7 linked regions of the Ovis aries genome follow. The protein of the gene in region 7 purifies or fractionates together with the protein of the main gene of each other region. This does not show direct contact. Links are inferred from orthologs where the notes say so. Each region holds a gene or a part of one and is shown on either strand. Other genes may lie near its edges.

The links.
Region 1: the proteins of tubulin alpha-1A chain (region 7) and DNAJB11 purify together in Homo sapiens (affinity purification with mass spectrometry; 3 studies listed by BioGRID and IntAct, counting the BioPlex papers as one, with this or other methods). This does not show direct contact. The link is inferred for Ovis aries from reciprocal best matches to the Homo sapiens genes TUBA1A and DNAJB11.
Region 2: the proteins of tubulin alpha-1A chain (region 7) and TCP11L2 purify together in Homo sapiens (affinity purification with mass spectrometry; 3 studies listed by BioGRID and IntAct, counting the BioPlex papers as one, with this or other methods). This does not show direct contact. The link is inferred for Ovis aries from reciprocal best matches to the Homo sapiens genes TUBA1A and TCP11L2.
Region 3: the proteins of tubulin alpha-1A chain (region 7) and DNAJB6 purify together in Homo sapiens (pull-down; 3 studies listed by BioGRID and IntAct, with this or other methods). This does not show direct contact. The link is inferred for Ovis aries from reciprocal best matches to the Homo sapiens genes TUBA1A and DNAJB6.
Region 4: the proteins of tubulin alpha-1A chain (region 7) and BAG2 purify together in Homo sapiens (affinity purification with mass spectrometry; 4 studies listed by BioGRID and IntAct, with this or other methods). This does not show direct contact. The link is inferred for Ovis aries from reciprocal best matches to the Homo sapiens genes TUBA1A and BAG2.
Region 5: the proteins of tubulin alpha-1A chain (region 7) and IRS4 purify together in Homo sapiens (affinity purification with mass spectrometry; 3 studies listed by BioGRID and IntAct, with this or other methods). This does not show direct contact. The link is inferred for Ovis aries from reciprocal best matches to the Homo sapiens genes TUBA1A and IRS4.
Region 6: the proteins of tubulin alpha-1A chain (region 7) and HAX1 purify together in Homo sapiens (affinity purification with mass spectrometry; 3 studies listed by BioGRID and IntAct, with this or other methods). This does not show direct contact. The link is inferred for Ovis aries from reciprocal best matches to the Homo sapiens genes TUBA1A and HAX1.

What each region holds. Positions count from the first base shown.
Region 1 is NC_056054.1:201,421,354-201,425,544, forward strand, and holds the start of DNAJB11 (dnaJ homolog subfamily B member 11), read right to left. Parts: upstream 2,801-4,191; 5' UTR 2,608-2,800; coding exon 2,540-2,607; intron 637-2,539; coding exon 480-636; intron 1-479. UniProt on the Homo sapiens protein: As a co-chaperone for HSPA5 it is required for proper folding, trafficking or degradation of proteins.
Region 2 is NC_056056.1:175,308,353-175,312,648, forward strand, and holds the end of TCP11L2 (T-complex protein 11-like protein 2), read left to right. Parts: intron 1-199; exon of another isoform or gene 200-1,414; coding exon 1,415-1,659; 3' UTR 1,660-3,796; downstream 3,797-4,296. UniProt on the Homo sapiens protein: Promotes the migration of muscle-derived satellite cells (MDSCs) during differentiation throught interaction with FMNL2 and therefore may participate in microfilament assembly.
Region 3 is NC_056057.1:120,224,443-120,227,942, reverse strand, and holds part of DNAJB6 (dnaJ homolog subfamily B member 6), read right to left. Parts: intron 2,557-3,500; coding exon 2,425-2,556; intron 1,137-2,424; coding exon 992-1,136; intron 585-991; coding exon 514-584; coding exon of another isoform or gene 479-513; exon of another isoform or gene 1-478. UniProt on the Homo sapiens protein: Has a stimulatory effect on the ATPase activity of HSP70 in a dose-dependent and time-dependent manner and hence acts as a co-chaperone of HSP70. Plays an indispensable role in the organization of KRT8/KRT18 filaments.
Region 4 is NC_056073.1:3,197,015-3,201,207, forward strand, and holds the start of BAG2 (BAG family molecular chaperone regulator 2), read right to left. Parts: upstream 2,801-4,193; 5' UTR 2,649-2,800; coding exon 2,536-2,648; intron 2,534-2,535; exon of another isoform or gene 1,528-2,533; intron 1,311-1,527; exon of another isoform or gene 1-1,310. UniProt on the Homo sapiens protein: Co-chaperone for HSP70 and HSC70 chaperone proteins. Acts as a nucleotide-exchange factor (NEF) promoting the release of ADP from the HSP70 and HSC70 proteins thereby triggering client/substrate protein release.
Region 5 is NC_056080.1:126,436,312-126,440,285, reverse strand, and holds the start of IRS4 (insulin receptor substrate 4), read right to left. Parts: upstream 2,801-3,974; 5' UTR 2,766-2,800; coding exon 1-2,765. UniProt on the Homo sapiens protein: Acts as an interface between multiple growth factor receptors possessing tyrosine kinase activity, such as insulin receptor, IGF1R and FGFR1, and a complex network of intracellular signaling molecules containing SH2 domains.
Region 6 is NC_056054.1:104,558,408-104,562,504, forward strand, and holds HAX1 (HCLS1-associated protein X-1), read left to right. Parts: upstream 1-1,297; 5' UTR 1,298-1,365; coding exon 1,366-1,418; intron 1,419-1,939; coding exon 1,940-2,244; intron 2,245-2,382; coding exon 2,383-2,570; intron 2,571-2,997; coding exon 2,998-3,049; intron 3,050-3,172; coding exon 3,173-3,279; intron 3,280-3,408; coding exon 3,409-3,499; intron 3,500-3,647; coding exon 3,648-3,733; 3' UTR 3,734-3,912; downstream 3,913-4,097. UniProt on the Homo sapiens protein: Recruits the Arp2/3 complex to the cell cortex and regulates reorganization of the cortical actin cytoskeleton via its interaction with KCNC3 and the Arp2/3 complex. Slows down the rate of inactivation of KCNC3 channels. Promotes GNA13-mediated cell migration.
Region 7 is NC_056056.1:137,067,885-137,072,113, reverse strand, and holds the start of tubulin alpha-1A chain, read right to left. Parts: upstream 2,801-4,229; 5' UTR 2,703-2,800; coding exon 2,700-2,702; exon of another isoform or gene 2,191-2,699; intron 696-2,190; coding exon 473-695; intron 337-472; coding exon 188-336; intron 1-187. UniProt on the Homo sapiens protein: Tubulin is the major constituent of microtubules, a cylinder consisting of laterally associated linear protofilaments composed of alpha- and beta-tubulin heterodimers.

The sequences.
Region 1 (4,191 bases), on a different chromosome or scaffold from region 7:
TGGGGTTGAATAACAGCTGCCCCCTTGAAATGAGTCAAGAAGTCTTCAGTTTGTCAGAGTCCTCTTCATTCCCTGATGATTGCTAAAATGGAGGCAGAATATCCACTCTCCTGTTTTACCTAATACCTGCCATGCATATTATCTGCCTGGTCCACGTAGGCGGGTGGATTTGCAATCCTCATTTAGATTTTGTTTCTGCTTCTGGCTCCAACTTCCAATCTACTATTAATCTACCAATTCTATCTGCTTTCATTCATCTTTTTCAACACTACTCTCCTTAATAAAACAAATGCTGATATGAAAAGGGCAGGAAGTAGTACCTTCTAAAATACATGTACAATACAGCACTGAGCACTACTTTTATCTACTGTCTATTTCTTTTAAAAAGTGACCTGAAAAACGGGAGTGTTACTCTGCGTTACATGGTCTTTTCTGTATCTGCAAGGTTTTGTTTATACTTTACCTTCTTCCTGACTCACCTCATAAGCAGCACCCAGATCCTGGAATTTCTCCTGTGCCCGTGGATCATCAGGATTCCGGTCAGGATGAAGCTGCAGGGCTAGTTTTCTGTAGGCCTTTTTAATATCCTTTATAGAGGCACTGCGAGGCACCCCCAAGATCTTATAGAAGTCTCGCCTGGGGATGCAGGAGAGGGAGAAGATACTTCATTAAAGGGTTATACATTACATTTTTAAAAGTGAAATTTTTTCCTTTACATTTAGGTTTGTGTCTGAGCAAAGAGGTAGGAAAATGAAGGTACATATGTGACACACAAAAAGAATGACTTAAAAAACCACACCAGAATTTGTAATGAGTTTCATACACTGAAGCAATCATAATGAGAGGCTATGTACTTTTTGAACAATGCTAGGATTATTCAAAGTATCTGTGGCATTCTTAGGATAACTAGTTTTAGTCAAGAAAGTCATTTTCTTATTTTATGGTCATACCGCTATAATCAAATTGAGTCTCTTTGTCATCCTCTATTATCGACTTCAAATGACTTGACTGCTTCCAAAGATCAAATAATCTCAAAGGATGATTTTCTTTATCCAAAAAAATTGTATCACATAAACATTCTAACAGTAGCACTCTTTGAATGTTAAAGATGAAGTGGCTGAAATTAACTTCAAAGGTTAACACAGAAGTTAAGTCAAAGCCCAAACAAGAGAAGCCTGAAAAGAGAATAACATTCATTTGAATGTATGAGTTGTGGAGTTTTGCGCTGAAAAAGAGAAAATATCAATTTTGCAGTCATTCAGTCAGTTCACTCACTCAGTCGTGTCCGACTCTTTGCGACTCCATGCATTGGAGGAGGAAGTGGCAACTCACTCCAGTGTTCTTGCCTGGAGAATCCTAGGGACGGGGCAGCCTGGTGGGCAGCCATCTGTGGGATGGCACAGAGTTGGACACGACTGAAGCAACTTAGCAGCAGCAGCAGCATGCTGACATCTTGTTCAACAACTTAAGGTACACATTGCTTTAAGTGCAAAAAGTGCTAACAAAAACATGTTAAAAATACAATAAAGTTTTACCTAGGAGAAGAAGATTTTTATTTTAGAAATATAAGATGTTTCACAAGGGAAAAAAAAAAGTTTAAGCATATATGCACACGGGGTGGGGGGACTTTTAAGAGAATAATAAGCACTTAAAAGTGTCAAGTTCTTCTAGGTAGTGCTTTCTTCTTTCAGAGTAACCTACAAATTTGTCAGAAGCTAAGGATTTACTATTTTCCACATTCTAAATATGAGCCTGACATATCAAATTCAGTGGATACCGGCCCTACAGGACAGTGGATCTTAAAGGCTGGAGAATCTCTAGAGTCCAGGAGGTCCTGCTTCCTTCAAACAGGTGGCACATTATCATCCTCATGTCAAAGATGGGAATTTTGGTTTTCTTTCAAAGTCACATAATTCATAAGTTGGGTGGGGCTAGAATTCCAGTCTACTGGCTATTCGTGAAATGTTTCTCCCCTCTGCTTGTAATACTACTCAGCTCCCTAAGAATACTTCCTGGAGAGACAATGAGGCATGACAGCTTAGGCTCAGTATCTCACGAAGCTGAAAGGTACAAGGGCTCTTCAAAGGGTCTGCCTTGCTCCTTCATTCCAATTTCTTTCAGTCCCGGCATGGCTACCCTACCTATTCTCCCCACTTCCTCACTTTGCCTGGTATCACAACCCACCCACTTTAATGCCAGCCCAACGGCTCGTCGTAGACTTAACACTGTATCGTCCCCTTCTCCAAACTCAGCAGCCCCTCATCCCACGTTGCGTTTGTCACTGCATCCAACCCTCGCTTCTCTGGGCAAATCTAGCTCTAGGGCTTCCGAGTCTAAGTCCCTATCTCCCGGGTCACCCACTGTCGTCCTCTCCATCCCACTAGCCTGGCCCACACTACCCACTCCTCCTCTCCACCGCCTCACCACAGCAACGCCCCCTACCACTCCCCCCGTCGGACAATGTCCCCTTCTCTCCCCAGCCTGCTTCCTAGCCAAGACTGACTTAATGGCCCCGTGCCCGCAGATTCCAATTCCTCACCCGGCGATCACGGTCCCGATGAGGTACAGCAGCAACAGGCAGAAGGTGCCCAGGTTCTGCGGGGCCATAGTCCCTCTGTGCCGGCCCCGGTCCCCCGCACTCCTCACAGCCCCCGCCGCCGCGTCGGCTCGTCAGCCCACCGGGCCCTGAGAAGCCGTCTTACGCCCGGGTCTCCGACTTAGTTAGCAGCGACAGCTAGCTTGCCCCCTCCTCTACCAGTCCACTTCCCGGGAGTCCCGAGTCCCGGCGAGAGAAGCCCCTAGCGGGCCAGAGCCAATCGCTGCTCCGGACATCACACGCGGCCGGCGCCTCACAGCCAATCAGTGCAGTACACTTCACCTCCGAGGCGGCGCGGGCGGCCAGTTAGGCTTCGGGACTGCAGCCGCAGCTCCCGGCCAATTAGAAGGGGAAACGTCAGAGAATCGCGCCGCCGCAGGAATCCGTCCGGCCCAGGCACCTGCCAGTCGGAGAAAATTACGTAAAGATTGGTGATGTAGGATGCGTCCTAGAGCCGGCGTCCACGGTACGAGAAGTTTCCCTCCGCCCGCCTCCTTGGACTCTCTACCAATCACAAGGCTCTTCCTCCAGCACTGGCCAATTGCAGGAGGGAAGTTTTATATTGGTTACAAGTCTAGGAATTTCATTCATATAGAGCTAGGCGCTGGACGCCCGGGAGGAGGTACGCGAGCGAGATGGGCGGGGACAATGACTGAAAGTCAACGGTACAACGGACGCGACGCTTAGGTCATGATTTGCCTTCTCCTAACAAAACTCACGCGAAACGGTCTTCGTTTCGCAAAGAAGAGGCCTGATGTCCGTGGAAGCAGACAGACTTAGGTTCGAATTCAGCTTCCACCACTTCTAGCGGTGAGAACATGCGCCTTGTCCCAAGTCTAAGCCTAAGCTTCTTTTCTACAAAACTGAGGCACAGCATTTACTGATAGTATTGTGAAATTTTAATCTGTAAGCCGTCTAGCGCAGCGTCTGGCACATAGTAACCACGCAAAGAATAATAAATATTACACTTAAAAGAACAACAACACAAAAAAAAACAACCAGAAACGACCCTCTGACCCCTTCCACCCACCCCTTTGCTCATTTCAGTAAATCACCACCTAGTTGTTCACTGCAAAGCTTCAGGTATCTTCCTTGATTTCTCTCCTGTGTCCCCTATCCGAATCTTTACCTTTAAACCATTTCTTGAATCTGTCCACTATTATATATCTCCACCACCTCTTGGCCAAGTCACATCATCTCCCACCAGGCAAGGGCTTCCTAACTGGTCTCCCTGCCTCCACTCCTAATATCTTAGGATCTCTTTCTCACCCCGATCCTTTTCCCTGCCATGATTTTTTACACACGTGTCAGATCATATAATTTCTCTGCTTAAAAGCCTTGAATGACTTTCCGTTGCACTTAACAATAAGATCCCCAGCCTGTATACTAGCTATTAGATAATATAATAATGTTTACTTGTTTAGCCACTAAGTCGTGTCCAACCCTTTGTCACCCCATGCACTGTAGCCTGCCAGGCTCCTCTGTCCATGGGATTCTCCAGGCAAGAATACTAGAGTGGGTCGCTATTTCCTTCTCCAGGGGATCTTCCTGACCCGGGGATCAAACCATGTCTCCTGCATTGGCAGGCGGATTCT
Region 2 (4,296 bases), about 38 Mb from region 7:
GTATGATTTGGGGTAGATGTGTTTGGATATAAGAATTTCAGTAATATTACAGCTGTCTGTATTAGATGAGTGTATTTAAATGGCAGCCCACTCCAGTATACTTGCCTGGAAAATCCCATGGATGGAGGAGCCTGGTGGATTGCAGTCCGTGGGGTCGCAGAGAGTCAGGCACGACTGAGCAACTTCACTCACTCACTCATTTTCCTTAATAAATGTTTTTATTTGTGAGATTTCTGTTTCCAGAGCCAGAGAATGTCCTTGGAGCAGCCTGGGCTGGAGCAGGTCTGGCTTGTCCAGTGCCATTTGTCCAGGACACCACAGCTTCCCTTTTTTAAGCATTTGCATGCATTTGTGAAGTCTTCGCAAATGCAGATGCACCGAAGCAGGAAGAGTGGAGAAGGTGGCAGTGCTAGTTGGGGTGGTCCTTCCTCAGTGCCTCCAGATTCTTGCCCACATGGGGGATGGTCATACAATTTATTTTCTAACCCGGGACACTGTTGAAAGTGTTCTTTTTATTAAGACCAGGACAGCAGGTGTCAACTTCAATTATCCTGAAAAAACCTAGATGTATGTTCCCCTTTGCCTTGTGGCAGTTTGGGCTCCCAAGTTTGCCAGATCTGTAGATTTTTCAAGAAGAACCAAAAATTTGATTTTCTATGTGAACGCCCCTCATTTTAAATAGCTTCTGTTTTTTAGAAAAACACTGTCTGGGCTAAACTAGCAATCCTAGTTTATATACTCAGCTTTAGGATATATAACTAAAATTATGGACATTTGAATTTTTATAAAAGATTCCCCACTCTACCCTGAAAGTGCTGTGTATGTTTTATTAGTTAGCTATTACTGTGTAACAGATTTCCCTAAGACTCCATCTATCATTGCTCACCAGTCTGTGGGGCAACTAGGCAGTTCATTTGGTCTTGCTGGACTCAATGCATGCATTTATGGTAAGCAGCCTCATGGGTAGTTAGCTCTGTTGGTCTTGCCTGGGCTGTCTCACGTGTTTGGGATTTGGTTGGCTACTGGTTGGTCTAGGATGGCCTAAGATGGAACAGCTGGGCTTCCCTCAACATGGGCTCTCATCTGGCTCAGGCTTGTTTACATAGTGGTGGCAGGCAGAAAGGGCAGATTCAAACCATGCCTCTTGAGCATGGAACTCACACACCATCACTCCGGCCACATTCTGCATGGGCCAAAGCAGGTCAGAAGGCCATCCCTGATCCAAGACCTGGGCACCTGGGCTCCAGCCCTGATGGGAAGAACTGCCAGGCTACCTTGGAAAGGGCATGAGTATAGGGAGGGGGTAAAGAATTGAGGATGTTGTTGCAATCCATCTACCACAATTACTATTCTCATGTTTAAAAAGTACATGCTTTAATAATAGGACAGATAAACCTATTTTCTTTTCCCCCAGATAAACGAATCCAGCTATACATGAAGAGCCTGCTTTGTCTGCCAAGCCCTCCAAGATGCATGCCTCCCGTGCCAGGAGGCCTTGCTGTCGTTCAGCAAGAGCTGGAGTCGCTAGGCTCGCAATACGCAAACATCGTGAATCTCAACAAACAAGTGTATGGACCATTTTATGCAAATATACTCCGAAAGCTGCTGTTTGGTGAGGAAGCCACAGGGAAGGCAGAAGCTTCTTCATCTACTAACTAAAGAGGAAATGACACTGGAAAAGAGATTGGAAGCCCAGCACTTAGGTACCCAGTCTGTTTCCACCAGCGGCATTACAGATGGGGCACATTCTCGATCCTGTGTGAAGCACAGTGTTAGCCCGAAGTTGTGTAACCCAGTAACATCAGCATTGCAGAGACATGCACATCACAATGCCCCCACATGTGCACCATTTTCGAGTCCTAAAGAGACTTTTTAACGAACAGAAAGCTATTTGTATTTAATTTTATTACCTATATAATACTTGTAAATGTTTTCTTAAGCATTTATATCTGGCTTATTCATTCAACCCTTAAGGAGTTGTATTTCCTCACCTGTTACTATCAGATCTAATGATTTTTTTTTTTAAACTTTGGTACAGCTTCTTAAAGGGTTGAAAGTTGTGATCATAACCAAGTGGACTGATGTTCTAAACAAATGATGTGAAGTAAGGATAATTGTATTTGAAATGTACAAATTAAATTTTACTCATATGTAATAGAAACTTACATAGTCCTCAAATTCTACAAATATACCTAATCACATTTGGTGATACCGATGGTCAGTATTTGTTTAGAATTTAAATGTATTAAATACATTTTTATGCTATGTACAAATTTTAGATAAAACCTCCCGTGATGATTTAATGGAAATAGAAACAAACCCCTTCTAAAATCTCATTCTAGAGGGTGGATTCTTCTTGCAACTTATGCTGCTCTCTGAGAGAAACACTTTTTGCACACATCTCTTTGTGAATGTCCTTGCATTTCTCAGGCCATTGCTAAGGTTTATATAAGATTTTAATATTTTTACATAAGGCAAGAGTGGTTTGAATTGGTAACTTGAATTTACTTGTAAGAAAAAGTTGATAAAATGGGACCCCCCATTCTCAGTGAAATTCACATCTGAAAAAGAAACAGATGTACTTTGGATTATTTTTCTTCTTTAAGCATATAATGTGCTAGCAAATGCCTTCTCTGTGGATTTAATTCTTACCCCACCGTGACCAAGAAGCTCTTCTCAGTACCATTATCATTTGCCATTCTTGTGCATTAAACTTTGCCACGCTGGCACTGCTTGTCAGGATCCTAGAGAAATCTGCTTGTCTTTGAATTACATGCTTCTGAAGTGTTGAGGGAAACACTGCTGGATAATGCTTTATTTGCATAAAATGCATTTTTGATGGTTTGATTTTCTGAGGACTCCTTGAACTTTAGCGGTCTGGTGGAGAAGAGCAAGTAGGAAGAAAAAGATTAATCCTTCTTTCTTCTTTACCTCCTCTTCCTCACCATGACCTCTACCATTATGGTGCTACCTAGTGATTTGATGAAGACCTGGGAAATTGTTGTGTGGATAACTTATCTCTGATCCTTACATTTTGGAGGGATCTGCCAAATTGAGGAAATGTTGAACATCAGCTTTTTTCTCCCAATGACCAATACATAAATCACCATTTTGTCCATTTGAGCAGCTATGTAGAAGTGGAATTTACTGAAGAGCACATCATTGGTCTTACCCATTTTTTCCCTCCTCCTGTATGTCCATTCTGCCTGTTTCCTGTGCTTAGAAATCATAAGGTGCTGTAGATTTTTATTTGCATTTTCTCTTAAGTTGAAATTGTTTTCAACTGTTCACTTTGGGGCCTGGACAGCACAGAGGGTCTGAAAGGTAGCGTGTAGTGTGATTTTTTGTCACTTTCCCGGTGAACTGTATATATAACTAGAAGACCAGGTGGTATACTTTTTTACTATCAGATTGGAATCTGGCTGGTATTCTTATATACTTGATTATACCATAGTTGCCAGCAGGAAAACAGTGTGCAAACATTTTTTTTTTTTTGGATGCATTTTAAAATGAAGGGCATTCTGCTTTTTTTTTTTAAAGTGGCAAAGTAAATCTCAATGTCCCATCTGGATTTAAGCAAGTACATTTATTAGGATTTTAAAATCCTGTCCCTTAGCATGTTGTTTATTTGGTTTTTACTTAAATGTTTACTTCTACTTTTGAGAATTTTCTTAACATGGTCTTGTTTTGTAATGTCAATTTTCCTAAACACCATACACACATTTTCATTCTTCTGCTAAAACATGTATTGTGCACACTAGTTACATTGTAAAACATTAAAAGTTATTTCAAGATAGATGGTGTCTCTGTTTTCTAAACCACCTTTGGGTAGCTTGGGGCTGGAATATTGCACACTCTTTATTACAGTGGTTCTAGAAGGAATCTTCTACTTAATGTCAAAGCCTCACAGACATCAATCGTGTTCATTCATTCATTTAGTGAACAAATAGCTATTGAGCATCTACTATGTGTCAAGAAGTATTCTAGGTATTTAATACACAGATGACTAGATAGACACTGTCCTGAGAAGTTTGTAACTTAGTAAGAAGGACAAAATTGTGAACAATAGCAATAAAGTGTAATTCGGGCTATGCTTTTAAAACAAGTACACATAGTACAGAAAGTGAAGAACTAAAGAACCGCTTGATGAAAATTAAACAAGAGAGTGAAAAAGTTGGCTTAAAACACAATATTAAAAAAACTAGGATCATGGCATCCGGTCCCATCACTTCATGGAAAATAGATGGGGAAACAATGGAAACGGTGACAGACTTTATTTTGGGGGGCTCCAAAATC
Region 3 (3,500 bases), on a different chromosome or scaffold from region 7:
GAAAACATCCTCAATGCACATTAAACCAGAAATGCATCACCATCAACGTATTAACATCGTCACTGCTAAATACTGAAAACACTGAGATTATCTTGTGGAAGAGTCATCCTGGCAATGTTAACTTCACAGCAGGCTGAGACTACTCGGCTCACGTTTCAAACACAATGGAAAAGCAGTCCGTGCTGGTGTTAGTGTACGAAAGAGTCACGGCCACCTTGGATTACGTTTAATAAAAAGCAAAGTGCATACAGAGATTTACAACAATTTTAAAGACAAATAAAATGGTCCTATTACGTGGTCCCAACAGTAAACTCAAAAGTCTATGACAAACAGGGCTCCGACGAGCTGCGTATAAATACTTTAGATTAGGTACAGTTATACTGAAAGTCGAGTTCGTTTGAAATCTTCAAAAAAATGTTCCTGTTAATCCTCGCATGGCGCGTGCCAGAGTTAGGGTTCTGCTACGCGCGTGCGTCAGCTACTTGTTATCCAAGCGCAGCAGCTGCTCCTTACCATTTATCGTCAAGGACTTCAACTGGCCGTCTTCTTCAACTTCCACCCTTTCTTGACCATTCTCGACAATCCTGCGGGAGGGGAGGCAAGGGGGATAGCACACGCCTTAAGATCGTCATCTGAGGTGAGCAGGCCTGCCTGTGGACCTGAGCGCGCACCTTCAGAGGACCCGCCGCGGGCGCCCCTGAAGCCAGCGACTCTGTGGCGGAAGCCAGCGTCCTGAGCGCGGGCGCCTCTGGCTGAGCACAGGCAGCAGCTGCCGAAGCGGCCAAGGCGCTACAACGGAGGCACTGCCATCCCAACGCACCCCTGCACGCTGGACGGAGCAACATCCAATGTGCCACAGGAAGCAGACATCTCAAAGGACAAGCTCTGATCGGAGGGGGCCCAGATGGCCCAGACACCCTGCCCTTCCCGGGGGTGGCACCGGTGATGCCCCCCACACCTATGCCTGAGAACACAGACGCCAGGCCCGCACCTCTTGGTGGTGATCTTCCTGCCGTTCACCACTTTCGTCGACGTCGATACGGACTTGTAGTTGCCCATCCCACTGCCGCCGAAGGCCGAGGAGGAGGAGAACGCCGTAAGGCTCCCGTGGCCTAGTGAGCCGAAGGAACCGAACCCTGTAAGAGACAGCAGAGGGGTCAGAGATGAGCGCAGCACGCGCAGCCAGCCCAGGGAAGCAGACGCAAGCCCCTGTGGAGCCGCCCGGCCACCTCCCCTACCGACGGGCCAGCACCCTGCCCCCACACATCTCACAGGATGGAGCAAACCCCACCACAGACTGGCACACCCAACAAGCTTCTGCTGGCTCCCTGTAACTGTGACCACAGGGGATACAAATCTCAATTGCCAGGAAGCTGAAATAATTTTAGCAAGAATGCCACAATTATCAGGAGAAGTATGGGTCTGGAGTTCCTGGACTAACTCTCAGCTATGAGGTGTTCACCTAGGACATGAACCCTGACTCTCAGAAGTCACAACAAAGCAAGTCCACTCTGGGCTGGGGCTGAGGCTGCTCTGCCTGTTGGAGCCCGCTGCCTGTCCCATCCTGAATGCCCCCTTACAGCAGAAACATGCCCTCCCCACGGCTCCTTAAAGGGGAGGACGGCATGCCACACACACTCCTTAAGTGAAATGCTCTGACAGGCTTGCCCAGCTTTCTTCTCTGACTCTCCCTTAACTCCCGGCACACCACGTGGCATCTGAGGAGAGGGCCTGCCGGAGGGAGGCACAGCTGCACTGGCCCTGGGCGGCACAGACCCCTGGCTTCGGAGGAGCAGAGTCTGGGAGCCGCGTCCCCTGTGCTGCCCACAGAGCGTGGGACAGTCACACAAGGGAGGCCCAGAACAGACAGAGGAGCTGGGCGAGCACCAGAGAAGAGCTGAGACTCCAACTCTCCACGCGAAATGCGGCTGCGCCAGGCTGTGTGCCTGACTCCAGCGGATGGATGGCCTCCAGTGCCACGCGCCAAACCGCACCAGTAGACTCGGCATGGCGCACGCAGGCCCCACTACAGCCTTAGCTCCTGACCCCATCGACTAGGACTCCCCAGGACATTTTTTTTCCTTAAACTGCTGAGGAGGTTAGATTAAAAAGGATTTAATGAGATTATCTGAGTTATTCCAGTTATTTATCCCAAAACCTCATTCCTTTTAACCAAGAATTTCATTAAATACTGGCCTTTAACAGTGAAGATCTGAAGTAGGTTCTCAAGTATAACATCTCTTTGGAACATTAGGGCGGGGGTGGGCGGGAATGTGGGTTACTAAGCAAAGGTCTGTATATACACAAACAGTGGCAAACCCAAGCTGCTCCACAAAAGGCATGTGCACACTACAGAGTGCCCTGAGTGACAGAAGCCTGCGCGGGCGCCCACTCAGACACCAGGGGAGTCTGAGGGTGTGGTACCTGCATCAAAGGAAGGAAACCCCCCTCCAAAGGGGGGAAATCCGCTGAAAGCAGAGAAGAACGAGCCCGTGCCTCGGCTCCGGCTTCCACGGGGGCCCCTTCGATTCCCAAAGAAGTCCTCAAACGGGTCTTCTAAAAAGAAACAGAAGTGCTTAGTGAAGCCTTGACCCCAGGGTGCTTCTCCACAGGAGAGCTGCGAAGGGAATGCGGGCGGTGCCTCCTGACACAGTTCCAGCAGGAGCAGAGCTTCTCCCCAGCGCAGCTCGCCTTCAGAGCGATCCCCCTAACCTGCGGCTTTACCGCGGTTGCCGAGACTCATCTGAAACCAGGACACAACGTGCCCCAACATAAAGCTCAGGGTCATCAACACGCACCGCAGACTGAGCAGAGAGCTGGGGGCAAAGCTGTCCACACGGAGCTCTTTCTGGTGGCTGTCACCAATCAATGAGCACTTACTGAAAACATGAATTAGACAAACTTTTAAAACTCACTGAGGTTCCCTATTAAGTTCACTATGAAATCAATCGGTGCTGTATTTTTTCTAGGAAATGGGAATTCTCTGAGAAATAAAAGCAAGGACTCCTGACAGATGGTTCAGAGAAACGAACCCATGACACAGAAGCAAGAGAACCGGCACGGCCTATTTCTAAGCCAGGCAGGCGTGGCCAAAGCAGGAGGTCCACGCGTCTGGGTGGCGAAAGGAACAGGAGAACAGTGAGCAGAACACGGTCATGAGCATGCAGGCGAGCGGGGACTGCGGCTCACAGCACACCCCGCGCACAGGCGACCATGACTGGGAACCCCCCAGGTAGCCGGCAGTGACCAGAGGCAGACCTGAGCTGAAGGAACGCTCAGAGCGGGGATGGGGAAGCAGGCGGGGAAACTACAAGCCTTTCTTAAGAGAGCCGTCAACAGTGCAGGAAAGCAGGCCTGAAGAAGCAGGCATTAGAAAGCATGGTCCCTGGCGGCTTCTTCAGAGACCTAGAAAGAAGGCAGGAGAGGGAGGAGGACCAAACAGGAACCGGCCCAAGGCAGACGCTGCTTCACAGCTCCACGGGGAGCCGGGACCTGGGCAG
Region 4 (4,193 bases), on a different chromosome or scaffold from region 7:
CTACACTTTGAAATATGACATAGTAACTCAGAAAACTCAGGCGTAAAGCATTAAGCTCTGCAGCCACTCCTGAGCTCTTTTAACTTCTCAAGCCTCAATTTCCCGCCTGGACAATGAGGGTGACATAATTTCCACAAAGACACAGGACCTGTAGTCATGCTGGTTAGCTAAGATACCTGTTGGAGGGTATCATTTATGAATTATATGATCACTGCTAAACTAGTAACAATCGTGAGCAAAGTGCTCAGAGCCACTGACAAATGGAAAAGTCAGAGGCCATTTGCACGGTCACGAAAACCCGTAGAGAGAGACATCACCTTTTTAGGAGGAAGCAAAAAAGGAGATCTAGTTTCGTGCTAACGCATTAGAAACAACTGGAGTTTCTTCAGCGATTTGTGAGATGCGGTCAAACATTTGAAAAACTTTAAACACCATGGACACCAGTTCACATGGCAGGTCATGAAGCACTGAGCATAATTCTATTTTCGATTTCATGCGGAGAAAGTTTTTGCTGAGACTAGCACAACAGAGGGACAGTAAACACAGACCTCCTGGTACAGTCTGTGATTTTCAGTGTGCCTGCAACACTGCTTTATTAGCCACTCGTAACATGAAAGTAAATGACAGTTAACACATGAATGTCTTGTTTTCTTTTTAAACTTGATCTTCTGGGCCTGATTCTAGTTTCTAACAGCTCAGTGCTCTCTTCCATGACCCATCTGCCTTCATAAACTTCTCTATTTTTTACTTAACCTTCCAAAAGACTTAATTTTGTCAGCATCACTTTTTTTTAAAAGAAAGAAACAAAGCTCATCAGTCTAAAACTAGAAAAGTCCTTAAAATGAACAACTGAACACACATTTATCAGTCTCAGCTCAAGGGTTAATTCAGCAAGTGATTAACCACTTGTACACGGTAATCAGAATTCATTTCACATTAAGGAAGCCCTAGAACGTAATATTTCAAACAAGAAACTTCCTTTTAAAGATGAGCACCTGCCCTATGTGAGGCATCAATTCAAGTCTTAGAACAATAACTCAGCTTCAAGAAAGGAACTGTGTCCTGCCCGAGCTGAGAAGAAAACATCCTTTCTTTCCAACTAGGGAAGAGCCCCCCTGAAATGGCTGAGAACATGCCCTCAAAGTTCTTGAGACCAGAGACGCTCAGTCACTTGTTAACGCTGCTACATAAAATCGTCCACAGGAACTGCTCTGCCTGTTCCACCTGCTTCAGCTGGAGAAGGACCATTGTCACTCTCCGTGAAATCGTGGTGGTGAGCGTCTCATTTTCTGAGAAGACATTGTTTCTTTCTGTAATAATAAAAAGAACTATACAATAAATGATGAAAGTCAACATAAATATTAATAAATGATAATAAGTGCCTCATTTGGTTATTAATGTACTTTACTGGCAAACAGACCCCTTGTCCTGTTTTGAGATAAAGACACATATGCAGCCCTTCTTAAAATTGTGTCTTACATGTATTCCTTTGCTCACTCAGAGTCTGGTAACTATGGGAAAAATTACCTGTGGTTTTAGGGAGTTTTGGACGCCTTGGTAAGATCTGCCTGTAATTACACCTGCACACAATTTACCGGACCTTCAATGACAATAAGAAGTTATGGGAAGTACACAGAAGTCTTCATTCACTGTTAGAGAAAAGATTATTTCCCAAATTTCTTACACATTATTTAGGAATCCTATACAAGCCGGTGACTACATTTGTCACTAAGCAGGGTCCCCACACCGGTTTCTATAGAAACTGACAGCAGCACAGCCTGGAAAGAATTCAGGGAAAGAGCCGGGGTGAGGCACTCTGTGCTCTGGGAAAACTGGCAAAACAGGCTCTCCGGTTTTCAGGAACTCAGATTCCTAAATCTTCTCAAATTCAGAAAAGCACTAAAAGCTTTAAGGGAGACAGCAGCTCCTCCTGACCGGTGGTAACCTCTGCGCGCCTGACCCCGGGCCCTGCTCCAAAGTCACATCCTCGCTGACCTCAGCCCGACCCTCGCCGCCAGGGCTTCCCTCTGCGCGCTGACCGCCGTGGACACCCCGACCGGGAGGGGACACGCCGACCGCAGGGACACCCCGACCGGGAGGGAGCGCTGCGGCTCGGGCCCTGGCGGCCGGGAAGGTGGGACGGCGCCCCGGTGAGGCCGAGCGCGGCTTGGGGAGACACCTGTCCGCTGCTCTCGGGCCTGAGGCCAGACGGATTTTTCCGTTTTGCAAAGGGCTCGGTCGCTCAGCACAGAAACCACTAACCGGCCCCGGTCCTAAAACCGCTCGCGGCGGGGAGTGGGCCGGAAACACCTGGCCCCCCGCGGAAGGTTCTGGAAGCTCCGCGGCGGCACGGCCGTCGTCTCGAGTCACGTCCCCCCTACCTCCTCTGTTCGGGGTCGCGCGGTCCCGGCGCTCGGGGCCGCCGAAGGGTGGGGGGCCGCCGCGCCGACCCAGCGCCGCGCTGCCCTCCGCTCCGCCCTCGCCCCCCGGTCCTCGCCCGCAGCTCCGTCCCCGCGCGGCCCCCGCCCCGCGCACCTGAGCTCCAGCTGGTCCAGGCTCTCGAGCAGGCGGCTGGAGCGATCGGCCATGGACGAGGAGCGACAGAAGCGGCCCTCGTTGGCCTTGGCGCTGATCCTCGCCTGAGCCATCTGCGCCGGGCGGGCGGCCCGAGGTCACCGCCGTCCCCACGCGCCAACCGTCTACTCGGATGCGCTGCCCGCAAACCCGAAGTCGGGGGCCAGGGCACCCAGATAAGGGCGCGAGGGCTTGGCGGCCGGACTCCGACCGCGCGAGCTGCCTCGGGGGCGGCGCGGCGGGGCGGCTCCGCGTGGCGCCAGGCCCGGCCCCGCCCCGAGCACGCCCCGGGGCGAGGCCCGCGCCAACCACGCCCTCGCCCCGCCCCACGGAGGCCCCGCCCCCAAGCATAGCCGGGGCGGGGCTCGCGTGAGCCACGCCCTCACCCAGGCTGGCCCGCGGCGCCCCGCCCCCGATCACGCCCCGGGGCGGGCTCGCACCAGCCCCGCCCTCTCCCCGCTCCGGGGCCATCCGCCGCGAGGAAGGGGTCCTTTGCGTAGCCGTGGTTCCCGGGCACCTTCCCGAGGTGAGAACTGGAGTCTGGACGCCAACAGAGCAGAAGACAAAAAGCCGCCCTGTCCAGCTGCGTGTAGGGGTCAAGGTGAACCTCATCGTTTTCACACCCACTCGCATGAAAGCATTTGTAATGACTTCTCTGTTTAAGTTATTGGTTGGAATTCGAGTGAAATGATTGTTATTTAAGGCCGTTTCTAACCCCATTTGTATAAACCTCCTGTTATGAGAAGACCATGGAGGCCGCTCGGCCACCGTGCAGGTCAGGGAGTAGTAGAGGGGTGGCGGGGCCAGAGCACACTAGGCGTTCTGCCCAGCAGTACACGGAGGGGATGCACAGGGCACCGGGAAGGGGATAATAACAGTTCAAGGCTGGAGCCCAACCTTTAATCTGAGATCAAAGTCGAGGTACTTGAACAGAGATGAGGCCCCTAAGGCTAGATCCCAGTTCCTCTGAACTCTTAAATACTAATTCACAACTGCTGTAGGGGGTCATCTGGCCTCATTAGACGTTTTATTGTATCATGACAAACGTGGAATCCTAGACGTTTTGTGAATGTGCTAGACTCTCTCACACCTCAGACTCAGTGGACTCCAACTCCAGAGAATACCCAGGCCCGTCTTCACTCCCCACTGGGCCAGCATCCCAGCCTTGCCCTCCCATCTGGTCTGGTGCTGTTTGCACCACTGTCTGTGCTCAGCTCAGCAGCTGCAGTGATCCAGAATAAGGCACAGCAAATGACTCCTCAGAAACCTTCAGCGGCTCACTTGTGAAATGAGTAAAAGCCAAGGCCTTCAGAAGAGGCCTCAGAGGACTCTCGTCGCCTGCTGCCTGCACTAGCCTTGCTGTGCATGTCTGGATAAGCTCACTCCCTACCTTCAGGCCTTTGCTCAAGTTCTCTAAGGACCCCGACCACTCTAGTACGAAGAGCAAGCCCCGCCCCCGCCTCACCCCCACCGCTCCTCAGCTCTTTCGGGCGGCTGTTTTCCTTCCTCATCTCAGCAACCCCCCCCAAGTGTGCCCCACTGCGGAGGTGAGGGCTTCCTTTTGCTCACTGATGTATTTCAAGTGCTTAGAATAGTCGCTGACAAATGTTAAGTACTCA
Region 5 (3,974 bases), on a different chromosome or scaffold from region 7:
TCTCTCTGCTCCTGTGTGGGCTTTTGTGGTTTTGGCTTGACTTTGTTTCCTTTTGTCATAAAAGGAAGTCGATTAGGTCTCTTAGCCTTGTGCTTGGGGGGCCCATCACCTGAACGCTTGGAAGGTGATCCCCCATCTCTAGGCTTTGAGAAAGACCCTTCAACTGAAGGCTTTGAAGCTGTATCTTTGGGGCCTCTGTTAGATAAGACTTCCTTCTCTAGGCCCTTTCCTAGGAATTTTCCAGGTAACATTGGTACATACTCACTATGGTCACTCTGTCCCAATGGGGAGCTCCGAAAAGGATTTGGCAGAGAGAAGTAGGAGCTCCAACTTTTGGAGGAAGAGCCTCCCTGAGGATTTCTGGGGTTTTTAGGAATGGCACCAGCTCCAGGGGCCATGAACATATAGTCACTGTCACTGTCATTGTCCTTTGAGTCATCCTCTTTAGCAGGATCAGGTGCTTTTGGAGGACTTGGCACAGGTGGTGGGCTCACTCTGGGAAACATCATCATGTACCCTCTAGAATCTTCGAAAGGTGATCGAGAGTGGCGCTTTTTGGACACAGAGACATTTTGAGGAGCCATGGGCATGTAGTCACTGGAGCTTGCGAGAGGAGCAGCCACGCCTGGCCTCATTGGCACATACGGATCATCCTCGTCTTCATCAAAAGCTCTGGCTCTGTGGGGACCCCGAGCTGCACCTTCTGGGGGCTCCGTGTCTTTCACTTCTTTGGCTTCTTTGCGTTCTTTTGTGGCCCCTCTGTCTGCACAAAAATAAAGTCGGAACCTTCCCCCAGACTTCCCTTTCCCACCAGTTGCTGCACCTGGTGGGGGTGGAAGGGGCGGAGGTGGTGGCATTTGCTGTTGCTTGCCTTGAGTTAATTTGCCAAAGTAGGATCTTTTCTTCAGAGATTTCCCACGATCACCATTGCCTTCGGGCCCCTTCCCACTTCCTGAGCCTTTGCCACCTCCGGAGTTCTTGCCACCGCCTGAGCCATGGCCATCTCCGGGTCCCTGGCCACGGCCTGAGCCATGCCCACCTCCAGCTCCCTGGCCACTGCTTGAGCCATGCCCAGCGGTGCCCTGGCCGTCCCCGGAGCACTGGTTTCCTCCTGCACTCTGGTCCCCGGAGCCGCTGCCACTTGAGCCATGGCTGCTACTTGAGCCCTGACCACCTCCAGAGCCATGCCCCCTGCCTGAGCACTGACTTCCCCCGGAGCTTTGGCCACTGGAGCCTTGCCCACTTGAACCCTGTCCACTTCCTGAGCCCCGGCCATTTCCCGAGCCCCAGTTGTTCATGGGCATATAGTCACCTTCGTTTTCTTTCTGATCCTCTTTGCCCTGAGGACCACCTTCTTCACCTGAGTTGCCAGAGCCAGAGCCAGAGGCTTCAGAAGACACGGGATCTCGGTCGTGGAGGGCTTCTGCAGGGTACAGGATGCGCACAGGGCTGGGTGCGGTGTGGCGGAAAAAGCTGGCTGGCACTGAAGTCGCTCTCCTGGGTCTGCGCCCTCTGGGCAGGTGTAGTCTTCCTCGTCTGGAGCGGGGCACAGGCTCACTGGGTGTTATGTAGCGCCTGGCGAAGAGCATCTCGTCTTCCCCATCACCGATGGCCCAAAGGTGGCAAAACTGCTCAAAGCGGGACCTTCGGAGCCAGCCGCCGGGCTCGAGCGGCAGCATGTCCAGGTGCCTCCTAGTGGACAGCAGGGTTAACAGGTGGCCGCCGATGCTGATGCTGTAGCTGCGGCAGCGGGCTCTGTATTCGTCTGCACACAAGGCTCTCATCTTCTCCAAAAACAGCTCGTGCATGTTTTGGGCCACCACACAGTCATCCACTTGCATCCAGAGCTCCCCCGGACCGATGACGGTGGACCTACCGACTTCCAAGAAGAAATACTGCTCCGAGTGCCCACAGCGACGGATGCTCAGGAGCTGGACGACCACGCTGGCCACTTCTGTATTTAACCTCACGAACAGAACTTCCTCGTCGGTAAGACAGAGCCGGAACACGCCGCTCAGCTCTTTTCGGTGCCCCAGCCCCCTGGGTTTGACTATTACTTGCCACACATCTTTGTAGAAGGGTGGCTCCACCGCCGCTGCAGCCGCTAGCGCGGCCGGCTCTCCCTCCGGCTGCGCGCCGAGCGTGCCGCAGCGGCGGCGCTTGCTCTCGAGGATGAGGCGGCTGAGCAGCAAGTACCAGCTCTCTTGCTCCGACTCATTCTCGGCCACCATCGCGAAATACTCGTTTTGGGTGAAAAGAGCGATGAGGTGTGGGTACCTTGCGTCGGCCCGCTGGCTCACCGAGAAGCACTGGTACAGGGTGATCACGCGCCGCGGTGCAATGAGCGCGGGGACCGTGGCGCCGGAGGCGGCCGCCGCCGCTGCAGCCGCCGCGGTGCGGACACTGTGCCGGAACTTCCTGGCATTTTCGTAGTATTCCAGCCGAGCTGGGGCGTCGGCGGTCTCGAGTTTGAGCACGAAGTAGCGCCAGCGCCCATGCTTCTGCTTCCGCAGGTAGCCGCGTTTGCAGACTTCGTCCCCGACGGGAAGGTCCTCCTCGTCGGACTCCGAGTCTGACCGGGAGCCAGTGGCCGTGGAGAGCCACATGGCTCCCGGACAAGACGACCCGGTCCCAATGGGTGCGGTGGGGGTTCCCGAGGAAAGAAATGGGGTGGTCGCCGCCGCAGCTAGAGCCGCTGCTGTTGCCGCTGCTGCAGCTCGCAGTCTCCTTGTCGCTTGGTCGCGAGCGAAGGAGCAGCTAGCCATGGTGATGCACGAGGGTTTTAAGGTGAGCGAAAGGGAGGGGGGGCTCGGGGACGGGAGAGTTGGGGGAAGAGGCCGTCTACCCCCTCCGCCCGCCCCGCCCCCCCTCCGCCTAGGCCCGCGCCCCCGCCCACTCCACTCCAAGCGCGCGGCGGCGGGCAAAACAACACGTGACCGCTGCCTCACGCGGCGGCCGCTGCGGCTCCTGCTACAAGCTCAGCAGAGGGGCGCGAGCCGCCGCCGGCAGAGGTGTGCGAGGGAGGGGGTGGCCGGCCCGAGAGGTGGGGCGGCCTCCAACCCCTCCTAGACCCTCTGGGAGAATCTCCCGGCCTGTGGGTCTCGGGAGGACCCACGGGAGGAGGCGGGGCCCCTGGCCACGCTGGTCCTAACGGGGACTCCAAGGAGGCACGGACTGGGGTTTGGGGGAGTATCGGGAGAAGTTCGAGAGTGGCGGAGGAGAGAGCAGCCGGAGACGGCGGCGGGGCCGGGGCACCACGGCCGGGCTCGATTGGCTGGAGGGGGCGAGAGGTGGTGGGAGGGGGCGGAGCACAACGGTCTCGGGCGGCGCCCGGGAGGAGAGCTGGCAGGGTCCCGGGACGGCTTGTTTGTTTATTTGGGAAGTAGCAGCCAGGTGAAACTGTTGCAAGATTCTTATTGGATGGGGTGGGAGCCAATGGGAGGGCCTAGCAGGCGGACCGCCTCGAATTAATTAGTTTGGGGGACAGGAGGGGTGCTGAGGGGCAAGGGGGCGTGGCTTGGGGGTGCGGAGTGGGCTCCGCTGTATGGTTGTCGCGCGTTCGGCGGTAAACAACCCTCTGCAAATAGCTGTTAATAGTACTGATAAATTCGTGCAAATCCCTCAGCCACGCTGACCCGGGGACCCTGTCGGGCGCCCTCTCTTCTTCCCGTCCCTCACATAAATTCTCTCTTTCTGTCACAGTCTGGTCCACTAGTTCCCACCGCGCCCGGCGAGCCGAGACTCTCGGGAGAAAGTGTGGGCAACCCCTGGAAACGTGTTAACGACCGGGGCCCGCAGACCTGCCGCCCACCGCGCTGCAGGCACTCGGGAGCCTGCTCCAGTCCTGATAAAAGCCCGCGAGTGTGGGGCACACAAATAACAGCGAGGGTTTCAAAATGAGCCTGCTCTTTCATCAGGGTGCGTTTTTAGTCCACGAAACGTAGGTTGGCTAAAGAGGGTGGTTCCAGCTGTTT
Region 6 (4,097 bases), on a different chromosome or scaffold from region 7:
TTTTTGTACTGTGTCCTCAAATTTAATGGATTAATGTGTCTTGTATATATAAAAAGAAAACCTCTACCTTCAGCCTCTGCCCATTCTTGCTCCGTCTAGGATGTCCTCAGTCTCGTCGATGACCAGCTTGGTGAATAAATATTACTGTACCAACTGGGCCTTCTCTAGCAGGCCCCGAAGGCGGTGGAATAAAAACGAAATCTTCGCCCTTTAAGAACTCCTCTGACCTTAATGTGCTGCCCTTGAGGGGATTCCCTCGCCCTCCCTCAAAAATTTCACAGTGGTGCCTGTAAAGAATCATTGCAAATGTTCATTTCCGTCATCTGTAGCAGATTGTAGGCAGTGAAGGGAGTGGGATAGCTGATACTGGGTGGAAAGGGAGAGGATTAACCAAGAACTGAAAGAAATCGCTTTGTATTGATAGAATCAAAGTTTAATTTAGATGGGTCCGTGCAAATGAACTGGAAAGAAATGAGTGCGAAATATGCACTGTTGGCTAGCAAAACTGAAGCAGTAGATCTTGCTGTTTGAGTGTTTTCATTTCACATAGCTAATATCCACACCCTTGAAGAGGAGGAGGCTGGAGCAAGGCCAGGTTTGGGAAGGAGGTGAGGGCACAGAGAGGGGGAGAGGCTTTGAAAGTCACTGATAGGCAAAAGGGGACACTTACACCTCCAAATTCTTCCTTCCCAAAACTTGACTAGATTTCCCTTGCGCTCTCACAAAGTTTATTCTGATGGTTGCAGAGCCTACGTTGGCAAACTACTTAATAGCTGGAGAGATGAAGTTAAATCCATGCATTCCTGTGTCTTTTACTCTGGGGATGTCATTATTAAAGTAGAAGGAGCTTGATACATTTTGTCCATTCCTCTAATACTAGACTTAAGTCAGGCGAGAAACAAACGATGAAAGAAGGGAGCGGGTGGGTTTAAGGCAGAACACTGGTCCGTGGGTGTGGTGAGTCTGCAATGAGGAAGGGTCTGGGTCCGGTTAATTTCTGTGGGTGGAGTGCCCTCTGGCGGCTGTCTCCAGTGCCATCAAGCGTCAAACCCTCGAAACCCTACTGGAGTGGGTTGGTCGGCCTAAAGAATTGGCTTAGAGGGCAAGTGTTCGTTGGGAAATAAAAACTCAGTACGCCCGCTCCCTTCACAGGAAGCAGGTGGGGGCAAAAGTGAAAGCCTTTAGAATTTGATAGGATCGCCCGCCCCGCCCCTCAGCGACGTCCGGCTTACGGTTGTTTTACGACAGTGTGCGATCGCATGCTTGCTTTCCGGCAGCGTGGTCTGACGCTTCGCTCAATTTCCGACAGCGTAGCTCTGGCTGCTACCCGCTGTGGGCTTCAAAGGTTCGAGTCCCACTACGGGAATGAGCCTTTTTGACCTCTTTCGGGGCTTTTTCGGCTTTTCTGGACCTCGGAGGTGAGAGCGGATTCCGGCCAGACACGGAGGGGCGGGAGTACTCGGAGGGGAGCTTGACCCTGGACACCCTATTTTTGGAAAAACATCCTTTTCTACCCTCCTAAAACTCCTGCGGGGAAAAAAAGGTCAACACTGAACACTCACCCCCCGACAGTAACCAGGGCGGTCGCTAAGAGAAGAAACAGCCGCTTAAGCTTTTCTCCAGTTTAGGGTGATGTAACAGGGGACCGGGTGGGGAAGACAATGGGCTCTGGAGTCGAGGACAAGTGAGCAAGACCTTGGGGGAGGGCAGGGGCTGGGAAACACTTAAGAAAAGCCGCAGGGAAGCGCTGGGGGCGGGGCGGGGTGGGGTGGGGCACCAGGTGAGGACTGACGTTGATGAAGCAAAACAAACCCGATGGCCAGTCCTCTACCCTCACTCCAGGCCCTCAGATCCCAACTCTTGTCCTACTCGTCGAGTCTTAGCTGATGCTATGGTTTAAGTGCTGAAATTTTGGTGGCTAATCTGCCTCCACCCCTAGCCACAGAGATCCCTTTTTTGGAGGAATGACTCGCGATGAAGACGAAGATGATGAGGAAGAGGAAGAAGAAGGAGTCACGTGGGGCCGTGGGAACTCGAGGTTTGAGGGTCCCCAGCCCCCTGAGGAATTTAGCTTTGGCTTCAGCTTCAGCCCGGGAGGAGGAATGCGTTTCCACGATAACTTCGGCTTTGATGACCTAGTACGGGATTTCAACAACATCTTCAGCGAGATGGGGGCCTGGACCTTGCCTTCCCGCCCTCCTGGTGTGTGGATGCTCCTGGGGAAGAACCTGTGGTTTCTACTGGGTCGGTGGGTGAAAAAAAAAGACTTGCAGAGAGTAGTTGGGGGTGTTGGGAAGTGTGAGAAAGCTGATGATTTCAAGGAGATTTAAAAGAGCCCAAGTCCTTTCCTACTCCCAGCATCCACCTGCCACCTTTCTGCAGAACTTCCAGGTCCTGAGTCAGAGACACCTGGTGAGAGACGGCAGGAAGGACAGACGCTTCGGGACTCAATGCTTAAGTATCCAGATAGTCACCAGCCCAAGATCTTTGGTGGGGGCTTGGAGAGTGATGCAAGATCTGAATCCCCCAAACCAGCACCAGACTGGGGCCCCCAGAGACCTTTTCATAGGGTGAGTACATCTGGGCCTGAAGTGGGAGCTGTGGAGAAGACTGCAAAGACTGGAAACCTTGCTGGAATCTAACAGACTTGGGTTGTATTTGTCTGTTTTCTATATTAAGCTTTGTGTAGGATTTTCTTTGGGAGGAAATGGGAGTTCTGCTTTTTGTTAAAAATTACTGTAGACGATGCTTGGAGAAAGCAGAAATGTTTGAAGGAGGACAGAAAAGTGTCAGTTCAGGAATGCTTTTTTGGTAGAGAAATACATGAATCAGGTAGGAAGGAGGGGGAGTGAGTAAAGAAAGCCATCCTGCTGGGATCATTTCTCCTGAAAAAAAAAAAAAAAAGTAGTTTTGGAACTTGGAAATAGGCTGGGTTCTGGGGCCCCTCAAACTTCAGATTGAAAGGTGTCATTTGACCTACTTTGGCTTCTTCTACAGTTCGATGATACGTGGCCTGTGACCCCCCACTCTAGAGCCAGAGAAGACAATGGTAAGTCTGGAGGGAGAGGACATTTACCAGCCCTTTGGTGTCCCTCCCTGAAATTTCTGTCTGCCACATTTGTCCCCTTCTTCGCTTTGGACTCTTTCTTGTTTCCTTTCTGTGCCCTTCTAGATCTTGATTCCCAGGTTTCTCAGGAGGGTCTTGGCCCAGTTCTGCAGCCCCAACCCAAAACCTATTTCAAGAGTGTCTCTGTGACCAAGATCACTAAGCCAGATGGGGTGAGTTGGGAGAGATGGGTAAAGGCAGCTGTGACCAGAGAATGTTCTGGAAAGGGGGACTATGTAAAGAAACAAGTGAACCCACCTTTAGTGATGTTAGGGATATGGTGGGGGGACTTCTTCTTGTAGACTATAGAGGAGCGCCGGACTGTGGTGGACAGCGAGGGCCGGAAAGAGACCACAGTAACCCATCAAGAGGCAGGCGGCAGTCCTAGAGATGGTAAGTGAAGAGTATAAATCAAAGGGATCCATCTCTTAGTTCCATGGGAAAGGGAAACTGTTGCTCTCCTACCATTAAACATTGCTGCCCTCCTTTGCCTCTTTCCAGTCTCCTTCATTTAGCCTGTGTGTATCACTCTTTCCCTTAGGTCCAGAATCACCAACACCTCCATCCTTGGATGATTCCTCTTCCATCCTGGATTTGTTCCTAGGACGTTGGTTCCGGTCCCGGTAGCCTTGTTAATTAATCACAGAGACCTTTAGATTCTTTCCACTTCCCACCCTTTGCTTGGTATTAATGGGCTTAGTTGTCTTCCTGCCACCTCAGGACCTTGGGTGTGTGGAACAGTGAATTGAAGGTCTGTCAGTGTGTCAGTCACCCAAACTGACCAATAAAACCTTTATTTATGCTAATTCTTTGGTCTTGGTTTTGTCGTGGCTATTCCACTTTCTCACAGTATCCAGGGCTTCCCAAATTAACTTGGCCCACAAAAGATTAGCTCTTTGCTTTACTTGCAAAACTGATTCTGATAAGTAAGGACCAGGTACCTTTAGGAAATGATTTTCCTTGTTAATAAATAACTAGTGATAGTTCCAGG
Region 7 (4,229 bases):
GAATGAGATTGCATTTTGACAGAAACTTTTAAAATGTAGACCTTCCTTAAATTACTCAGCATTTCTTTATTAAAAATATCTTCATGAATATTTATCAAATGACATCAAATAGGCCATATTTTAATTGAACTTTATAAATATCTCTCTTAGGTTCATTAATTTACTTTATTCTTGAGAATACACATACCAGTTTCCGAATTCGGTCCAAGACGAGGTCAATGATCTCCTTGCCAATGGTGTAGTGACCTCGAGCATAGTTGTTGGCAGCATCTTCTTTGCCTGTGATGAGCTGTTCAGGGTGGAAGAGCTGGCGGTAGGTGCCAGTGCGAACCTCATCTGGAAGAGGAAAACGAAGCAGCCACCCATCAATGACCCATACAAGCTCCACCCCAGGGTATCAGTGGAGCCCACAGGACACACCTCCTGTCACAGACCCTCAGGATTCTCATTGAAGCTACTGAGGTCAACTCACCAATGACTGTGGGTTCCAGGTCTACAAACACTGCCCTGGGCACATGCTTGCCAGCGCCTGTCTCACTGAAGAAGGTATTGAAGGAGTCGTCTCCTCCCCCAATCGTCTTGTCACTTGGCATCTGGCCATCGGGCTGAATGCCGTGTTCCAGGCAGTAGAGCTCCCAGCAGGCATTGCCGATCTGGACACCAGCCTGGCCAACGTGGATGGAGATGCACTCACGCTGTGGGAAGGAAAAGAGAAAAATTGTAAAATTAGTTATATTAGCATTTTCAATTTTCAATAAATTTCCAAAATGATTTCTAGTAATATACAAGTATTCTTTGAATTTATTTGAGGTCATATTCCTAACATAATAGAAACAGTTAAAGAAAAGCACTTGCTACAAATGCTGCAGATGGGTGTGGTCTGGATAAGGCTGCACTGTTAAGCACATGGTGCAAGCCGATTGTTCCAACAGCCATACTTGAATAGAAGATTTTTCATATTTAAAAAATAGTCAAGCACAAAATTTTTGTAAAATGAAGTAATTTCAATCACTAGTTAATTGCAATCATTATTACTGCCTCCTTCACCTTTAAAGATGAACATTTTTTTGATAGGACTTGGTATTTCAATATGGACATCTGTACTGCAGCTGAGGCTAGAAGCCACACCCTTCTGCAGTCTGTCTGCAGAATCCATCAGTATTAGGGGGTAGAAGCTAAACAAGGACTGTCTCCTGCACTGCTGCATTTGCTGTGCCTGGTGCCAGCCTGTACTGTCTGCTACATTATTTAACAGAGCAAGCTCTATTTCCAGCAACTGCCTACATGATCTCATTGTGCTATCTGCCAGTTTTCCTCTTCTGACCCAGCCTGGGACCATATGCCTAAACTGAAATGAATTCATGAAGATGCACTAGAACAAAAGACAGCTACACAAAGTATAAGTCTTCTTTGTCTGCAGCATTTTCATTATTTAAAAAAGTTTTCCCAGAATCTTCTCCTCTGCAAAAAACTGAAAAAGTATTAGTATCTTTAAAACAACAGTTCCTAAACTAGAAATAAATAGAACATGAAAAGCTACCAAGCTTAAAGCCCAGTGAAATAATTAAATATTTATATAAAACAACAAAATAATGTTTTCATTCTGAAATTTCGTACCCACCACAGAATACTCATGCTCATTACATTCAGTAGAGTGTCCCCTCCGTAGCCTTTACGGTTACAACTTCCTTTGTCTGTCCATTGTCTAGTCACTGACAAACGGGGGCTGGGGGCGGGGAAGGGCGTTTCCCTGGGTCCTCTGCATTAGAGCACCCTGGCTCACAAAATCGGCTTTTTCTCTCGCTGAACATGCGATCAAGACAGACACACAGGAGTCAGCCAGGGCGGGGCGGCCCCAGACCAGACGTTAAAGGGCTTGTCATGTGAACTGTGACTTTGCTCCTCAAAAAAAAAAAAAATCTAAGTTTTGACAGTGAATGAAAAACCTTTTAACGCCTACGGTTCTGTAAAGATGAAAGGCTTGTTAAAAGTCTTTCTGACAGAGGAGGCTTAGTGAGGACGAACCCCTCCCAGCGGCTCCAAGGCGAGAGAAGCAGAAACAAACAACTCCGCCCCTGCGCCGCCTCGACGCCGGCCGCCACAGAAACTAACCATTTTGCCTGTTAATACATGGGTGTCTTTCTAAAACACCAACGAACTGGCGAGGGATCCTTTTTTTTTAATACTAACCTCAGGCTCCGCTTTGTCCCTTTCCTTCTCTCCCCGAGTCTTCTTCCCAGCTACACCCACCGACCCCCGTCTTTTCGGTCGACGAATCCTCTCCCTGTCCCTGGGGAACAACGCGAGGAAGGGCTTCTCCGAGTCACACGACTATCGTGCGCACACGGGGGCCGAGCAGGCGACGCCAAGACCGCCCTGCCTGCCCCAGCCCCTTTCTTGACCGACAGATGGGCTGCTGCACGCGGCTGCCAGGGACTTGGGTAACAAAACCTCCCTAGGCGCCGCCTTTGTTCCCCCTCACTGCTCAGCCGCGCCCTGGACTCAGTCGTGGTGGGGCTCCTGCACCCCGCACTGCGGCGGGGAGTCCGGCCGCAGACAAAGCCAAAACTCGCAAATAAAATGTAAAGCTACTCTTACCCATCGAGTTGTAAAGGACAAAGGTTTTAAGATTTTCCAAGGAGACCCTGGGGAGGCTGACCCCACCCAGCGTCACAAAGAGCCGGAGGAGACACTCTTACCATAGTTGCTGTTTTGCGGCTGCCGAGCAGATGGCGGAGAGGAGAAGAGGTTGTTACTTCTTACAGCGCGACTCTTAGGCGGTCGATGTAAGAGAACCTGCGGCACATGGGCGTCTGAGGCTCCCTATATACAACTCGGTCACCATGGGGATGGGCTGGGGCCTTTTCCTGTTGGTCCAGACCCCTCAATCTGCCCAGAGGAGCCGCGACAGAAGAGTGGTGATTGGTGCATGCGACATGGGATGAGGTAATCTCTCCCCCACCCCTTTTCCCCTAGCATCCATAGACTGCTTGCATCCTTCAGACAAAGAGACCGAGCAAAAACAGTCAGCCGAGCATCCATTACGGGGTGGGGTTGGGAAGGGGTGGGGGGAGGGAGGGAAAGAGAACTGGAGTTGGGTGACTTTATATTGTTTAAACCTCAAACTGCTGTTAAAATCATCAATGTAAAGGTTTTCCTCCCAGCATTTAATCGCAGAATTTGAGATGAAATATTTTAATAGAAAATTACTTTCAGCTTCTCCCTCAGAGTGTGCTAAACCCACATTTGGTGAAGATTCAGTATCTCTAGTGCTTTAAAAATAAAGTAGAAGAGAAGATGGGAATGATGCTTAAAATGGCTTGGGTAAATGTGTTTTGTTTTGTTTTGTTTTTTTAATTAAAAAATTATTCAATAACCATCCAAAATGGTTTCTCAGGTTCAAGTAATTTTTTTTCAGACCTTCTTTTGCCACCCTCTCCCTAAAAGCTAAACAAAAACACTAGATGAAAAGAACAATCAATCTATGGAAGCACACAAGTAGTTCTAACATGAAGATAATTCAGATCTAATGAACACACCATACTTACTCTACTGGAAATATTCCAGAAGTCTATGTTAATATATTTTATGTCGTGTATTGTTGCTTAAAATGATCATCTTTTCTAATATAGAATTGAGAAAATACAAGGAGAGAGAATTGAGTTTAGACGCTAGTACTACCTGTGCATGCAGTTATATTCTGCATTGTTCTCTCTTCTGGAAAGAGAAAATTACTGGGATACCACATTAGAAAGGAAGAGAGTTGTATAGTGTGAAAAAGAAGACTATTTTGTAATATTGTCTCCTTCCGTAGACAACTGTGTAGATGTCACCTCAATAACTGCATTTTTTTTTAATGTAAATCTTATGTGAATTCAGTAAATTCTCCTCCTCTAAGATTGGGCTTCAAACTGTGGGAATTGTAGCCAGCCTCATACAGCTGCTATTCAGTCAGAGACACTGGTGGTTGCTCAACTGCCTCTTGGGACAAAAGGCTTTGCTTAAGGAAGTGGAGTGCAGTAACATTCTTTTGCTACTCAGAAAGCTTCCATTATCAACAAGGATGTACAGTGCAGAATATGCCTCTGGACTGGGTACCATTTGACGTTGCTAATGAAATTTCAGAGGTAAAGAGGTTTGCTGTGGCCCCTGAAGTTGAAAATATGCATTTTGGCAGATAATTTTTCCTTTTGGCTTTTAGCAAGAGATTTTCAGGGTCGGCAGCACCA